3 linked regions of the Ovis aries genome follow. The protein of the gene in region 2 binds, or shares a complex with, the protein of the main gene of each other region. Links are inferred from orthologs where the notes say so. Each region holds a gene or a part of one and is shown on either strand. Other genes may lie near its edges.

Evidence for each region. Proteins that work in one complex are often made in the same cells at the same time.
Region 1: the proteins of GNAI1 (region 2) and XCR1 are in contact, whole or in part, in a cryo-EM structure (PDB 9AST), measured with the Homo sapiens proteins. The link is inferred for Ovis aries from reciprocal best matches to the Homo sapiens genes GNAI1 and XCR1. Residues at the interface, in NP_002060.4 of Homo sapiens: Glu28, Ala31, Arg32, Leu194, Asp315, Phe336, Thr340, Asp341, Ile343, Ile344, Lys345, Asn347, Leu348, Lys349, Asp350, Cys351, Gly352, Leu353, Phe354; in NP_001019815.1 of Homo sapiens: Glu63, Thr66, Arg127, Ser130, Val131, Pro134, Leu135, Leu138, Val140, Arg146, Tyr205, Leu212, Ser215, Ser217, Lys218, Arg219, Arg222, Thr223, Leu226, Ile227, Val290, Gly291, Val292, Lys293, Phe294.
Region 3: the proteins of GNAI1 (region 2) and FFAR4 are in contact, whole or in part, in a cryo-EM structure (PDB 8ID3), measured with the Homo sapiens proteins. The link is inferred for Ovis aries from reciprocal best matches to the Homo sapiens genes GNAI1 and FFAR4. Residues at the interface, in NP_002060.4 of Homo sapiens: Ala31, Arg32, Val34, Leu194, Gln304, Glu308, Lys314, Asp315, Glu318, Ile319, Tyr320, Thr321, His322, Phe334, Asp337, Ala338, Thr340, Asp341, Ile343, Ile344, Lys345, Asn347, Leu348, Asp350, Cys351, Gly352, Leu353, Phe354; in NP_001182684.1 of Homo sapiens: Arg71, Ala73, Thr74, Arg136, Cys139, Ile140, Leu143, Gln144, Arg145, Gly146, Ile230, Ile233, Thr234, Ser237, Arg238, Arg240, Leu241, Ser244, Leu245, Ala246, Tyr247, Ser248, His251, Arg254, Gln258, Arg261, Leu262, Leu266, Leu269, Met323.

The regions. Positions count from the first base shown.
Region 1 is NC_056072.1:53,240,329-53,245,803, reverse strand, and holds the start of XCR1 (chemokine XC receptor 1), read right to left. Parts: upstream 3,752-5,475; 5' UTR 1-3,751. UniProt on the Homo sapiens protein: Receptor for chemokines SCYC1 and SCYC2. Subsequently transduces a signal by increasing the intracellular calcium ions level. Receptor for XCL1/Lymphotactin.
Region 2 is NC_056057.1:42,450,852-42,455,701, reverse strand, and holds part of GNAI1 (guanine nucleotide-binding protein G(i) subunit alpha-1), read left to right. Parts: intron 1-1,513; coding exon 1,514-1,643; intron 1,644-2,695; coding exon 2,696-2,849; intron 2,850-4,850. UniProt on the Homo sapiens protein: Guanine nucleotide-binding proteins (G proteins) function as transducers downstream of G protein-coupled receptors (GPCRs) in numerous signaling cascades.
Region 3 is NC_056075.1:14,652,631-14,657,932, reverse strand, and holds the start of FFAR4 (free fatty acid receptor 4), read right to left. Parts: upstream 3,752-5,302; 5' UTR 3,707-3,751; coding exon 3,140-3,706; intron 1-3,139.

The DNA.
Region 1 (5,475 bases), on a different chromosome or scaffold from region 2:
GTGCAGGAAGACACGTTACTGTGACAATTAGAAACCCGAGCCCTTATTGACAGATTCCCCTGTGCCCTGTGCCTGTTCCCTGGGGCTCTCTCTCTGAAACCCCACTGAGGCTCTGCACCCTCTGCTGTCAAGACCGTGGTCAATACCCCTCCCCGACGAGGAAACAACACTGAGAGGAGGTGAAGCATTGCCCACGGTCGCCAGGCTAAGAAAACTGGAGCTGGAATTTGAACTCGAGCTTAACTAAATGGGCCCCAGTGCCTTCCCCTTCGTCATGGGATGAGTTCAGAATTCTGGCTGTAGTTGTACCTTTGGATAAGTTAGGCTTATCCAAGCCTAACACTCCTGGACGTGGCATTTATACAGTATGTGAACTTCGCTCCTTTCACTTGTGAAAATGAAGCATGCCTCCCTCGGCCCTTCCCTGCTCAGCACGCTGTCACTGCTGTGTAGTTCACGTGAGCGGAATTCAATGTGACTGCTCATTAAAACGATGAGATACTCTGCAGATGCTAAATCGTAATTCATGTTGAACTGTATTGGTTTTAAAGCAAAGTTTTATGAAAGGGCTCCTTCTGCTTTTCTTTTCATCTGTTTTTTAAATTGTAAATAGAACTCTTCCTGTGCGGCTGGAAGCCCTGGCTGGAGTGCGTGGACTGACACGCCTGCATCTGCCCAGTCCTGTGCCTGGGGCCACCAGTTGACACCTACAGGGTCCCTGAGAGCAGGGAGGGGAAGATGGTCACACCTCTGTGACTCACAGGCTCCTGAGCTGCCCAGCAACACTGTCAAGTTTCCCTATTCTGTGCCATGTGTAGCTCAGACCCTCTCACTCTAGAATTCTGATCAGCAGGTGACCCACCACTTTTTCAGCAAGAAAACAGAAGCCAATAGGACAAAGCACTAACTTCCTGCTAGAAAACCTCCCTCTCCACTGCACTTTCACGTCCCTGGGCCCTGTTCCCAAGGGACGCTTGGCCAAGGCAAATCCTGACTCCCTCTGCAGACATGACTCCGTCAGCTTTGCCCCCATCTTCCATCTCTCCCTCTCTGTACCTCAAGCCTTTCCCATTTGATCAAGTCTTGATAAAGTCCCGCCAGTGGCTGCCCAGTCTCCCCCTCCTTCCATAGCTAACCTGGAAGCCAGCTCTCCTCAACCACTCACATCTGGCATCTGCACTCCCCACTCCACTAAAGCTCATCACCTCGCTGTCACTTGTTAAACCTACTGGGGATTCTAAAGGCTTCCCCTGCCAGGCTGCTCAGCGGCACCAGAGAACCTGACCACACATATTTCTTGAAAAGCTCTATTTTCTGACCTGGAAAGCATCCCTATGTTAGCTTCCCTCCTACCTCTCTGTTCCTTTCAGCCTTTTCTTTGCTTGTCTCTTAAAGGTTGTCCTTACCCTGGTTTCTTGCTCTTTCCTCTGGTCATACCTTCTCAGGACCCCAAGACCTGGCGGGGAGCCAAGGAGAAACTGCACACAAGTGAGTCGGGCTGGGCAGGAGCAGAGCCTGGGGAGTGAGGCAACCAGGGGCCTTGCACCCGTGGAAAGGTGGCAGCAGCAACTCAGCTCCAGCAGACACCTGCCAGGAGCAGGGTCGGCAAAAAACATTTTTTTTTAAAAAGGGCCAGAGAGGAAATACTATAGACTTTGTTGGCCACGATCTCTGCCATATATTCTTCAGTCCTGAATATTCATTGGAAGGACTGATGCTGAAGCTGAAACTCCAATACTTTGGCCACCTGATACAAAGAACTGACTCCTTGGAAAAGACCCTGATGCTGGGAAAGATTGAAGACGAGAGGAGAATGGAACGACAGAGGATGAGATGGGTGGATGGCATCACCGACTGGATGGACACGAGTTTGAGCAAGGTCCGGGAGTTGGTGATGGACAGGGAAGCCTGGCGTGCTGCAGTCCATGGGGTTGCAAAGAGTCGGACATGACTGAGCACCTGAACTGAGCTGAACAACTTTCTAAAAATGTAAAACAAAGAAACCTTAGGTCTAGGGTTACACAGGCCCAGGGCTGGGTGTGGTGCCAGTTCAGACTGTAGTTTGCTGATCTGTGCACAAGAGTGTATACAAACCCAGAGCGGCCAGATTTCCCTGTGCCAGGTTTCACAGAGAAGCCAGAACGCTGGATTTTTGCTTGAAATCTTTTAGTTATTAAACGCCTGCATTTAGGTGATCTCTGGCACCACTGCCTCCAGGTACCCACCGAGCGTCTTGTAGCCACACGTGGTAACCCCAGAACTCAGTTCATTAGCAGGCTCCCTGCCCAGGTTGGTCTCACAATTTCAGCAAGTGGCAATGCCCTTGAGTGGACTGCTCGAGACAGACACCTGGGAGCCTGCCCTCACACCCTGCCCACTTGGCTCTGTCCTCAGTGCCCCTCCCCGTGCTGGGTCCCCACCATTTCATCCCTTGAGGACAACCTCCTCCTGATAAGACAGTCCCCGTCTTATCCTTTTTCCACACTTTCTGCAGCCAGGATGATGGTTCTAAGATGCAAACCTGGGCACGTCACTCTCAGGTTTAACACTCTTTCGCTAAGCTTCGGTTGACTCACAAGGCTTCTGGGGGTCTGGCCCCTCCTCGCTCGCCGTGCCCCATCCTGTGCCTGTCTCTGTGGGCTACTCTCAGTTCCTGAATCAAGGAAAGCCCCCTCTCACTTCCAGGTCTTTGCATCAGCTGCCCTGGCACAGCCTTCACTGCACCCCACACACAAGCTGACAAATTCTTCCTTGTGCCTCATCTTAGAGCTCTAAAGCCTTCCCAGATGGCCTCATCTCCTGCCAGCTGATGTTCTGCCTTTCTTTCACCTAACAGCTGTGCTGATATGTAAATCACATGCCGCATAATTCCCCATATAAAAAAAGGCAGATGCCTGGAGGGGTAGACGTGGGCAAGGGGGTATAAGGCCTTCCACTGGGAGGTGGGGAGAAAACAGAACTGGTCTTTATATTTATTTTTATATCATACTTTGGTCTTCTTTGGGTGTTATTCTAACCTAATATGCCAGTGAAGTAGAGCGCAGACGTGACAACGAATAAAGACTCGCGTGTTGGAGGTACCGCTCAGCACTGTGACTGTCAGCAGCCTGCAGTCAGGAGTGCAGAGACCCCTGCTTCCTATTCCATCCCGCTGCCTCCCCTTTGGAGGAGAAAACACCCCACCTGTGTGCCACAGGGACGGCTCTGCCAAAGGGTGTGAGCTTGCCTCCAAGCCGCCCTCCCTTCCTCCCTCCACTGCTTTGGGTTTGGCCCATATCACCTGTTTCCCCTTCTCCCTGAGCTGATCTGTCTGCAAAGGGGCCTTGGAGTTGCCGAGGCTCCCCCACCCTCTCACTGCACAGGAACTGAAAAAGCACAGCTGCATTTCCAAGTAACAGCACACGTCGAAACAGAGAAACCGAGCAGACAGACAGCAAGATGAACACTGTGGAGATCGTGACGAGACCCTCCAAGAGGCTTGCGCTCACTGTTCCTCGTCTTCATCCAAGCGCGCTAGTGCTGCTCCCCTAGGCCTCCTTCCTTCCGTCCTTCTCACCGAGTCTCACAGAAGCCTCAGCTTCTTGCCCTTTGCACACCCACGTACACACATGTGAGCACATGCCAGGATTCACCTCTCCCTCTACCCTGTACCCGCCACTCCTACGCCACGGTGCCCAGTGAACTTACTCTGTGCCACTTCCATCTCCACAGCATTGACCTTCGGCTTCCTCGAGGCAGAGGAAGTGAATGCAGCTCAACAACGCCCGTCAGATTTTTAGTTCTCTCATAGGGATTATTTTATAATAGTTTACAGATTTCATGTTCCACGTGGCATTTCCTGTCTGCCAATTTTGAGGGTGAGAATACAAATTAGGAAATCAATGCAAAGATGAAGAGTAAAATAGATCTTGACACATTGGGTCACTGAACTCAAACCAACAAGATGAGATTTAAGAGGAAAGAAAGTAAATTCATGCTCTGATACTTAAAACACTTGTCAGGCGCAAGAACCAGGTGGTAAGATCAGAAATAGATGGCGCTTCAGGAAAATCAGTTATCTTGTGATCAGGCCATGAGTGGCAAGGTCTTACCTTACAACTAGGTCAATAAGAAGCAACTGGATGACATTTGCTAGAAAACTCACCGCAAAGATCTGATTATCTCTGGGATTAGGTAACAAATGGACTCTGCTCCCCGTCTCCCACCCCAGTCAACACCTGGGGGAAAACAAAGGGCTACTCTGGATAAATCACCTCTGGGTTAAATTCAGAACGAGCGTGGGAAAGCATCCAACGACTGACGGGAGAACCCAGCAGCCGCTTCACACTAGGTAGCTCCTCTCGATGTGAGTGGTTAGAGATTAGGCCTTAGTGTTGATTTTGGTCTTTTTCCAGATGCTCTTCTGTTCTCAACATCTGTTGTCCAGCTCTTGATCTCAGGCTGCTCAAATATTGACTGACTCTGACCAAGGGCACCCTCTCTTTATGAATGCATGGAAGAAAACAAGTTCTCAGTCAGTGGAAAAACGCAAAAGGGGTGGATGACCTTCTCCTGGCTTACTGCACAGTATTACACATTGGAAATGACCTTCCAAGGAATCTTTCAACCTCCAAAAGGGTCAAACATGGAACTGAAAGTCATGAGTGTGTATTCTCACCCTAGTTTTAAAACATTTATCTCAATAGTTGTCAATAAATTATTAAATGTTAAAAATAATCTATGCCATGAGGACATCTAGGGATCAAGTGTCTGGGTGGGAAAAGAAGAGTACAGGATTAACTCCTAATTGACTGTATGACCAGTTCTAAGAAGGATGGGAGCTGTGACCTTGGTTGGGTATGGGTATGAATTGGTATCTCATTGTGGTTTTTAATTTGCAATTTGCATTTACTTAATGACTAAAGAGTGAAAAAGTTGGCTTAAAGCTCAGCATTCAGAAAACGAAGATCATGGCATCTGGTCCCATCACTTCATGGGAAATCGATGGGGAAACAATGGAAACAGTGACAGACTTTATTTTTGGGGGCTCCAAAATCACTGCAGATGGTGATTGCAGCCATGAAATTAAAAGACGCTTACTCCTTGGAAAGAAAGTTATGACCAACCTAGATAGCATATTCAAAAGCAGAGACATTACTTTGCCAACAAAGGTCCATCTAATCAAGGCTATGGTTTCTCCAGTGGTCATGTATGGACGTGAGAGTTGGACTGTGAAGAAAGCTGAGCACTGAAGAATTGATGCTTTTGGACTGTGGTGTTGGAGAACACTCTTGAGAGTCCCTTGGACTGCAAGGAGATCCAACCACTCCATTCTAAAGGAGATTGGTCCTGGGTGTTCTTTGGAAGGAATGATGCTAAAGCTGAAACTCCAGTACTTTGGCCACCTCATGCGAAGAGTTGACTCATTGGAAAAGACTCTGATGCTGGGAGGGACTGGGGGCAGGAGGAGAAGGGGATGACAGAGGATGAGATGGC
Region 2 (4,850 bases):
ATTAATTTTGCAGTATTGAGGCAGAATTTTTTTCTTCTATGAAACTTCAGCTTTTGCCCTTAAGGCCTTTCAACTCAATAGATGAGGTCTGCCCACATTATCAAGGATAAACTCCTTTAGTGAAAATCAACTGATTGTAGATACTAAGCATAACAATAAAATACCTTCACAGCAGCACCCAAATTAGTGCTTGATTAAGTAACTGCATATGCTAGGCTAGCCAAATTGATACATAAACCAACCATCAACAGAGGGAAAATGTGGGAGAGGGAGGGTTCTGTTGTTATTTTACATGGAGTGGTATATGACATATGATCAGAGAAGTTAGCTAAAATATATTATTTTTTTTGTAATGTAGTCTTCAAATTGTGTTCCTTGGCAGTTTAACAGATGGGTAATCATTTTAATTTTTTTTTGTTTGATCTTCATTACCAGCTGTCCTTTTTGCATCTTACCCATTTTAATTTAGTGTGTGGTAGAATCATTTTGTTATATAGCATACTTAAACTTAATGAACAATTTACCAGGTAGACTAATAGAATACCACTTAAATGATGATAAAACTAACTAGTATTGTTACTTTTATATTGAGTACAAATCTGATGCACTTGGATTTGGTTTATAGGCCAATCCTACTCTACTGGGAAAATTCGTTTTGCCTGAGAATTAAATAGGGACTATTTTAATTAGTGCAGTATCTAGATAAATGGAGTCTTTTAAAATGTACCAGTTTGCATAGTGTTTCTATTATGTAAGCGGCTATTTCTAGATTACATAACAATTTATGTGAATTTCAACTTTTGCTTAACTTATACTCTTAGAGGAGAAAGCAGAAAACATCATTATCTTTATATTGTTTGTGTTACTGCCTTGTATAGCAACTTAGAATAGAATGGTCTCCTACTGCATATCATTTAAAAACTCCTAGTATTCACACTATTCAGTAGGCCACCCATTTATCTCATCTCTTTTTTTCTGTACCTTGGTTTTATTTTTTGATTTAGGCAGCCTGTTTGCCCCTATTTAAATACGACACCTTTCTTACCTCTAATGGTTTCTCCTTTACATTTAAGTCCTGCTATATTGCTTCAGAGAAAAAACATTTTGTAGTTGGACAAGGGGACCATGTTCTCTGCCTCTAATGTTCTGTGAGTCTGGTGAATTGAATATATTCTATTATCTCTGCATTCTCTAGATGTTTCCTGTGACTTCTCTGTTTAAAACACACAAATGAAGGGGCTGAACTATGTGTAATGTTCTTGTTCTAATGTGGTCTCATGTTAATGAATTTAGGTGTGTGGTTTTTTTTTTTTAAGGTATTTTGGGATTTTTTGTGTTTTATTGTGAGAGACCTTCCCTTCTAGTAGACTTTTTCTCCCTTAAAGTCCTTTTCTCCTTACCTTCCATCCCACATTCTCCATGCGATTTAGAGCTTTTTTGTTGTTTTTTTCATAGAATTCCTTGGTGTGTCTGAGCATTCAGGGTGATGTCAAACTCATTTCTCCTCTTACAGAATGTTTGATGTGGGAGGACAGAGATCTGAGCGGAAGAAATGGATTCATTGCTTTGAAGGAGTGACCGCCATCATCTTCTGTGTGGCGCTGAGTGACTACGACCTGGTTCTAGCTGAAGATGAAGAAATGGCAAGTAGAACCTCTTTTAAAGATTGAACATGGAATAGGAAGAGTTGGAGTTGTTGCCAAGAATTTTTCTAAGAAAACGTCTTGAGAAATTCTTGCTAATGCCTGAATAATGTGAAAGTTCAGGCACTTTTCTCTAACTTTTCTATTTAGTACATTTCCCTCTTAGTATGCAAAGAAGCATACTTTTTATGATGGATCCTCATAAAAAGGAGAAGGCAAAGAGTTCAACTCTCGATGCTTAACTAGGCATTTCTGAGATCTGGTATCTACATACTGAATAAAAATAAAGTTAGCGCCATTATAGTCCAAGGCTTATATTTCTTTCTTCTTCCAGCTTAGTAATCCCTGGGCTGTATTATACTATATTATACTTCGCGGCTGTCATGTAATTGGCACATGTGTTTCAATGTACCATTAATCTGGGGGAAATATTTTTAAATATAAGAGCTATAAATGTTTCTTTTTTTTTTTTTTAAGATAAGGTATATACAGTTACCGTTCAGTAGGTGTAACATACAGCATTCATTTCTGTCCTTCTGGTGCACTATAATATATCAGTGCCCTTTTTGAAACCACAAATACCAGAAGGGCAGGAAACAAGAATTGGAGGTTTCCTTCCTTCATACACTATTATATAGGGTATTGGTCTAATTGTATTCAGCTTTTTCAGTTTATTAATCTTTAAAAACCTCTACTTACCTTTTAATGGAAACTTCAGTTCACTCTGTAATGATGAGGTCTCCTCCGAGATGTCTGCACTTGCCATTTCTAGATCACAAGCTCCTGCAGTACAGTGACACACCGCGGGCACTCAGCGAGTGCTGGATGGATGCAAAAGCGTGATGAGAGATGCAGATATTCGTCTCGCCTAAAATCGTCACGTGTGCTTGTTCTTAAATGGTAGAAGTGCATTTTTGTGATAGGTTATCTATTTTTCGGCTGACTAAGCTCTATTGTACTGCCACACTTTTTTTACCAGACACTCATTATTTTTTAAAAGTAATATTTCTCAGAATCTTTGCCCTTATGACACAGGCTGTTTTCTATTACAGAACCGAATGCATGAAAGCATGAAGTTATTCGACAGCATATGTAACAACAAATGGTTTACAGATACATCTATTATACTTTTTCTGAACAAGAAGGATCTCTTTGAAGAAAAAATCAAGAAGAGCCCTCTCACTATATGCTATCCAGAATATGCAGGTATTTTACTTTCTCTGTCAACTCGTAGATTTCTAAGTGAAAGTTCCCCTAAGCCAAGATTTCAGTTGTTGATTTGAATCTCTTGGCTTCGTAGTTCTTAACCTCTAAGCAAAATTATTTAGCAAACTGCATTCAAGGCCAGCTTGCTTGGGCTAGCTCCTTGAGGTGTGGAGGATTAAAAATAACATTCGTTTTATGGAAAAGCTGTTAGATAATTTTCTATGGTGACCCTGAGTCTTTGCAAACGTAAGATACTGATTTGTTCATGCAGTTAACAGATCTTAGGTATTGTGTGATGCACAATAAATAAGGCGTGTCTCTGTTCACTGGCTAATCTCTAAGACAGAGATACTCCTAAGGAAACAGATAATACAACAACAGTGCGGCATGTGGCTACAGAGGAAAATGAGCAGTAATTGTAAGGGGGGAAAGATGAGAAAGGAGTCTGAGGTAGCTAACTGCTCAGGGGAGTGGGGGAAGGGTTCACAAGAAATCCAGCCTTTGGTAATGAGACCTTAAAGCTACTTCAATTTTACTGCTGTGGAAAATGGTCTGCTTTGAGAAGAGGAAAGCTGAGTTGCAGTCCTGGCTTCCCCATAATTTGCTCTTTGATCTTGAATGAGGCAGTTAATTTCCCTGTCTCAGTACTCCATCTGTGAAATCAAAAGTTAGGCAAGAACACTGCTTTAGTTCTTTGGAACACTTCCCTGGCTTCTACTGGAAGTGGGCACAAGGAACACAGATATTCCACCCCTCGCTCCCCAGGTCCCCTCCACAAAGAGTCGAACGTGATAGAAAAAAACAACCCTTGCTCCATCCTATTTTAAGAATTTTTTTCTTATAAACAAAATTTTAGTTTTGTATTGAGTAAATGATACAAATATTTACTGCCTTTCCATGGGCAGTGTTAAAACAACTGTGTGCTATGGATGCCTTTATATCCCACTAACACAGGTGAGAGCACTGGGAGGAATGAAGCAAGAGAGTCCCAAACCAGATCCAAGTCTGCTGCACCTGCTGCGTCCAGAACATGAACAGTCAGAATACATTTAATTACATTCTCACTGGAGGCAAAGCAGAGGGTTCTTCAGTCAGTGTGACCCTACTGCCCTTTACTACAGCCCTCTTTGTAAATCACAGAGGTATCAGTTCAGTTCAGTCGCTTAGTCACGTCCGACTCTGCACCCATGGACTGCAGCATGCCAAGCCTCCCTGTCCATCACCAACTCCTGGATTTTACTCAAACTCATGTCCATTGAGTCGGTGAAGGCATCCAACCACCATTAGGGTCTTTTCAAATGAGTCAGTTCTTTGCATCAGGTGGCCAAAGTATGGGAGCTTCAGCTTCAACATCAGTCCTTCCAGTGCATATTCAGGACTGATTTCCTTTAGGATGGACTTAGTTGGATCTTCTTGTAGTCCAGGGGACTCTCAAGAGTCTTCTCCGACACCACAGTTCAAAAGCATCAATTCTTCGGCACTCAGCTTTCTTTAGAGTCCAACTTTCACATCCATACACGAGTACTGGAAAAACCACAGCCTTGACTAGATGGACCTTTGTTGGCAAAGTAATGTCTCTGCTTTTTAATATGCTGTGTAGGTTGGTCATAGCTTTTCTTCCAGTGAGTAAGTGTCTTTTAATTTCATGGTTGCAGTCACCATCTGCAGTGATTTTGGAGCCAAAAAAAAATAAAGTCAGCCACTGTTTCCCCATGTATTTGCCATGAAGTGATGGGACCAAATGCAATGATCTTAGTTTTCTGAATGTAGAGCTTTAAGCCAACTTTTTACTCTCCTTTTTCACTTTGATCAAGAGGCTCTTTAGTTCTTCACTTTCTACCATAAGGGTATTGTCATCTGCATATCTGAGGTTATTGATATTTCTCCTGGCAATCTTGATTCCAGCTTGTGCTTTTTCCAGCCCAGTGTTTCTCATGATGTACTCTGCATATAAGTTAAATAAGCAGGGTGACAATATACAGCCTTGGCTTAGTCCTTTTC
Region 3 (5,302 bases), on a different chromosome or scaffold from region 2:
TTACTTTCCTGTACCTTAAAAGTATCCTTTAATATTAGCAAACATAAGCAAACTTGTCTCCTCAGTCAGTTGACATGCAGTAGAGACACAATGGCATTATTGGCCTGAAATGAAACCGGGACAGGGCAGAGAGCAGTGTGACCAAGCGCTCCTCCGGAAGTGTGAACTCATGGGAGAGGATCCCGGAGGGACAGACAGACCCTGGCTAGCTTCCAGTTCCATCCTTTGTTCATCCTGTGACTTTAGGCATCTTCTCCTTCAGAAAATAAACATGAGAACACCAACTCGTGGGGTTACTGTGGGGTTACCGAATTGTGCCAGGGTCTGAGACCAGAAGCTGGGTGACCTACATGCACCTCCTTGGAGAGAAGGACAGTGTCTTGATCATGTGACTCATGGTGGGGGCAGGAGGGAGGGGTGCTCAGTAAATGTTTGCAGAATAAATGGGCAGCACACTCTGACCAGGGTGGACAGTCCTCCCTACCTGCCAATGAGGGTCACGCCCCACTGGGACTATAACACACAGACAGGAATTCTATTGGAACAGGCTGGGATGACCTGGCTGAGACGTTGCTAGGATGTGTCCACTCTCCTAAAATGGCAGTGTTTTGTTTTTTTGTTTTTAATGTCAGTCTTTTATTTTATAGCAATCAGAAGAATTATACTGTTTGAAAAATGTTTAAAATATTTATAACCAAAGATAAGGAGACTAATAATAGCTGGCAACTCTTGACTGCTTAACTCTGTGTGTGCCAGGTGTTAGTTCATTTGCTAAACATAGTCACCACGATGTTAATAAGGGTAATATTGCTACTGTGCCCATTCTGCAAACGAGGAAAGTGAGGTATAAGGGAGATGAGACCACTTGCCTCTGTCTCACAACTCCTAAATGGCAGGGATGGGATTCAAACTCAGATCATCTGACTCCAAAATCTGCATTCCTAATACCAAATTATCTAGCATTTTCTAGAATGTCTACCATTTCATCTAAGTTTGTGAGAGTCTAATCAGCTTGGCTGCTGGGCACCCACTGCCCAAATGGACAAAGATAATCACGTTCCTGGGGACTGGGTTTGACCAGGGGTGGAGCTCAGATAAGCAAAAAACTCTGAGAGACACTGTCTCCCTGGCCTGTTCTCCTGGAGGGGAGGGAGCCAGTCTGCGCCTGGGTTTAGTTAGTTCTCTGAGCTGGTGGTTTGGGTAGGAAAATGTCCCCCATCCAAAACCTCCATATTTAGTGTCCAAGTGGGAGGGGGCAGGCAGAGCCAGGAAGTTGGGAGTAGAGGACTGAGAAAACAAGTCTTTGCTAATTTTAAATTTGAGTCTCAGTTCAGTCTAGACTAGATCCTTCTCTGTCTCTTTTTTTTAATGTCCCCTCCCTCCTGCTCCCACCCCAATTATCATTCTTCTCAACTTATTCCTTTAACAGCAGAGCCTCAGTCGACCCACCTATAAAATAAGACATTTCCTACATGTTCAGGTCATAGCCCTTGAGGAACCAGGAGTTTTCTGTTTGTTGGGAGGTGTGAGTACGTGTGTGTTGGGAGTGTGGAGCAGGTAGGGAAAACAGCAGAGGATGGAGGGCTGGAAAGGACTGTCCCAGGTTTTCATCACAAGTTCCACCTTGGGGAACACGGCTCCCGCAGCCAGCTCACCTATCCCTAGTCTTCTGGCCCACTCTCTCCCTCTCCAAAGGCTCTTAAGACCAGAGTGGTGTTTCTGCATTAAAATAATAAGAGGGGTCTGTGTGCCCAGCCCCAAAAGGGACTGAAGGAAGGTCACCCCAACACAAATCTCCACAGAGGCATCTTACGGTAAAACTCCCGCCATCCCAGAAAGGCTGTGGAGGGTCCAGCCTCCACAGGTGCCATACCTGGGTAATCCAGAGTGGCAAGGCACGGAAGGTCCTGCCTCTGTGCGAAGGCCTTCTGACTCAAACAGCCCCTGTGTCCACGTCAGCAAGCAGTTCTAGTCTGGGCTGTTGGCTGGGAGGTGACAAGAGCCTCGTTTTTTAGTGGTATTTGCCGGTTAAGTAGGAGTGTACCTGAAATAGTACTCCCCCTCCACCCCCCGCACCCCGGACCCTTCTGGTGAGGCTCACAGACCTCTGTCCCTGGCCTTCCCGGAGAGGCGCACAGAACATAACACCGGGATAACAGCCAGAATCGCGGGCCTCTGTCCAGGTCTGGTGTCCCGGCTGAGTCTCCGCGCGCGCAAGCCCTGCCTGCAGTCGCGCCGCAGCACAGCAAGAACAGACCCGCGCCCGCAATTCCGGACCGTGGGACCGGAGCAGACTCGAGCCCATGTCGTGAACAGAGCAAAAGCTTTGCTCTACCCACAAAGATCCTAATGGCATCTCTGGGTGTGCCACCCGAGTAAAGCTCAGGGGCTCAGCCTCGACAATCTTCGGAATATTTCGGGCGCCCAGGATACTCTGATGTCACTCTTCATCCAAAGCTCCCAGGGTAAGATCCCTCTAGTTTAATCCCTCTAATTTAGTCCCTTCCGTTTTGCAGTTAGAAAAACTGAGGTTCCAGAGAGGAAGTGACAAGCCCTGTAGAGGCAGCACTAGGTCTGGGGTCTCTGGGTCTCCAAGGCCCTTTCTCTCCAGCCTATCCACACACCCACGCCCGCGATTCTCAAAGCAAGACCCTCATTCACCTCGCACCGAATCTGCTGAGCACGATCTCAGCTCCTCCTACACTAGGGGTGAGAGCATTCCCTCTCTGCGTACCTTGGCCTCCTCATCTGTAAATACGTGTGATAATAAGTACTGCGAGAAAGCAGAATTTACTATAATGTGATCAGTCATTCCAGGTCTGCCAAGTTCCGTCTGTCTAACCGTTAAGCCCCCGTTACTGCATTAACCTCGCAATAGTGCACCTTACAAGCATTTTGGGGACTCCACTCACAACGTTTTGGAGGGCGTTTAATGTAATCTACACCGTAGGGTCATAGTGAAATTTAACAGATAAAACTTAACAGTACCGAGCACGGTGCCACGACTAGTACATGCAACAAATGGCCTATTCTCGTTTTGTGGTTTTTGTTAATGATCATCTTAGATCACCGTCTCCGTCACATTCCGCCTGCCAGCCCTTCCCGGACACCGGCCCGGCGCGCACAGCGCGGCGCTCACCTGGTCAGCGCCGGGTAACCGCTGCGGGAGGACACGGAAGAAGATGCAGAGGGGCAGCGCGGTCATCGTCGAGTAGCCCCAGATCAGCGCGAGCAGCGCGGCCCGCGCCCGCCGCCCTGGGCCCCGCGCGCCACGCTGCACGCGCACGATGCACACCACGCGCTCCAAGCTGACTGCCGCCAGCGTGAAGATGGTGACGCTGCCGCTCAGGGTCATCATGTAAAAGAGCAGGTGGCAGGCCACCGGGCCCAGGAGCCAGGCCTCCGTCCAGCGCACAACCAGCACGAGCGGGATGGAGCTGGTGAAGAGCAGGTCCGCGCAGAAAAGATTGAGCACCAGGCTGGCGGTGGTGCCGCGGCGCCGTTGGCGCGCTACCAGCACCAAAGCGCACACGTTGCCCAGCAGCGACACCACAAAAATGAGTGCCAGCACCACGGTCTCCACGGCGTTCAGCACTAGCCGGTGGTCGCCCTTGACATCGGAGAAGAACGGGAAACGGGTGCGGTTGGCCCGCTCCAGGCTGCGCACGGGCGCAGTGCCCGCCGCCTGCGCGCACTCAGGGGACATACCGGGCACCCCGCGGCCCGCAGCCTTCTGCGAGCGGGCTCATCTGGGAGGTGACTGAATGCCAAGGCGGGGAAAGAGGGAGGGAGAGGGTTGCGACATCTCTCCTCTGGCCCCCTCCCGCCTGAGCAGCGCCGGAGCTGGGCGTTGCAAGCTAAGCCTGGGGCGCGCGGGAACGAGGAAGTGCCAGCGACGCCGGCTGGAAATACCAGGCTGTGAGCGAGGCGGCAGTCTAGGTAGAGAACGCCCTCGGCCGATAGGAGCACCTGAACCCCCGGAAACCCCGCAAAGCCTCCCCAGCCCCTTTCATCCGCCAGGGGCACCCGGAGGACAACCTTAATCCACTGATATTGTTAAAATTGATTAAGGAGTGCTTGAGCTGGACTGGAGATCATTCTGTCCTGTGCTTTTCAGGCTTCACCAGAGAAGTCTCAGGGGTCTGGGAATAAATCCCAAAGCAGCTTGTAATGGGTCCAGATCTTTTTGTGGGGGCGGGGAGGAGTCATTTATCACTGCTAAGTAACATGTGACTGGGTAGATTAGTTCATCTCTCTGCCCTAGTTTTTAAAAATCTATAAATGGAGATAATAATATCCCATTGGGTAATTGTGAGTATCATAGAAAGAGATTTATACTTGGCACACAGTAATTGCTCCTGAAATGTTCAGTTCAGTTCTGTTCAGTCCAGTCACTCAGTCATATGGGACTCTTTGTGACCCCATGAATCGCAGCGCGCCAGGCCTCCCTGTCCATCACCAACTCTCGGAGTTCACTCGAACTCTTGTCCATCAAGTCGGTGATGCCATCCAGCCATCTCATCCTCTGTCATCCCCTTCTCCTCCTGCCCCCAATCCCTCCCAGCATCAGAGTCTTTTCCAGTGAGTCAACTCTTCACATGAGGTGGCCAAAGTATTGGAGTTTCAGCTTTAGCATCATTCCTTCCAAAGAAGACCCAGGACAGATCTCCTTTAGAATGGACTGGTTGGATCTCCCTGCAGTCCAAGGGACTCTCAAGAGTCTTCTCCAACACCACAGTTAAAAAGCATCAATTCTTCAGCACTCAGCTGTCTTCACAGTCCAACTTTCACATCCATACATGACCACTGGAAAAACCATAGCCTTGACTAGATGGACCTTTGTTGGCAAAGTAATGTCTCTGCTTTTGAATATGCTATCTAGGTTGGTCATAACTTTCCTTCCAAGGAGTAAGCGTCTTTTAGTTGCCATAATTAAAATCCAGGTAAATTCTGCATTCTGAACAAAGATATAAAATGCTTTCATGTAAAAAGAATGGGGCCCCAAAATATATTGAATAAACTTGGCACCCAGGAAAGACAGTCACTGCACGTGCACACACAGGTGGCGAATGTGCCTCTGGCACCCCAATTCGACAAACACTGAACAAACCAGTCCCCTTACAGATGAGGAAACTGACTTGTCCAGGGACTTCCCTGGAGGTCTAGTTGTTAAGACTCTGAGCTCCTAAAATAGGGGGCACAGGTTCAATCCCTGGTTGGGGAACTAAGATCCTACAGGCCATATGGTGCAGCCTCCAAAAAAAAAAAAGTGACTTGTCCAGAGTGGAGTCTGGTTAGTAAC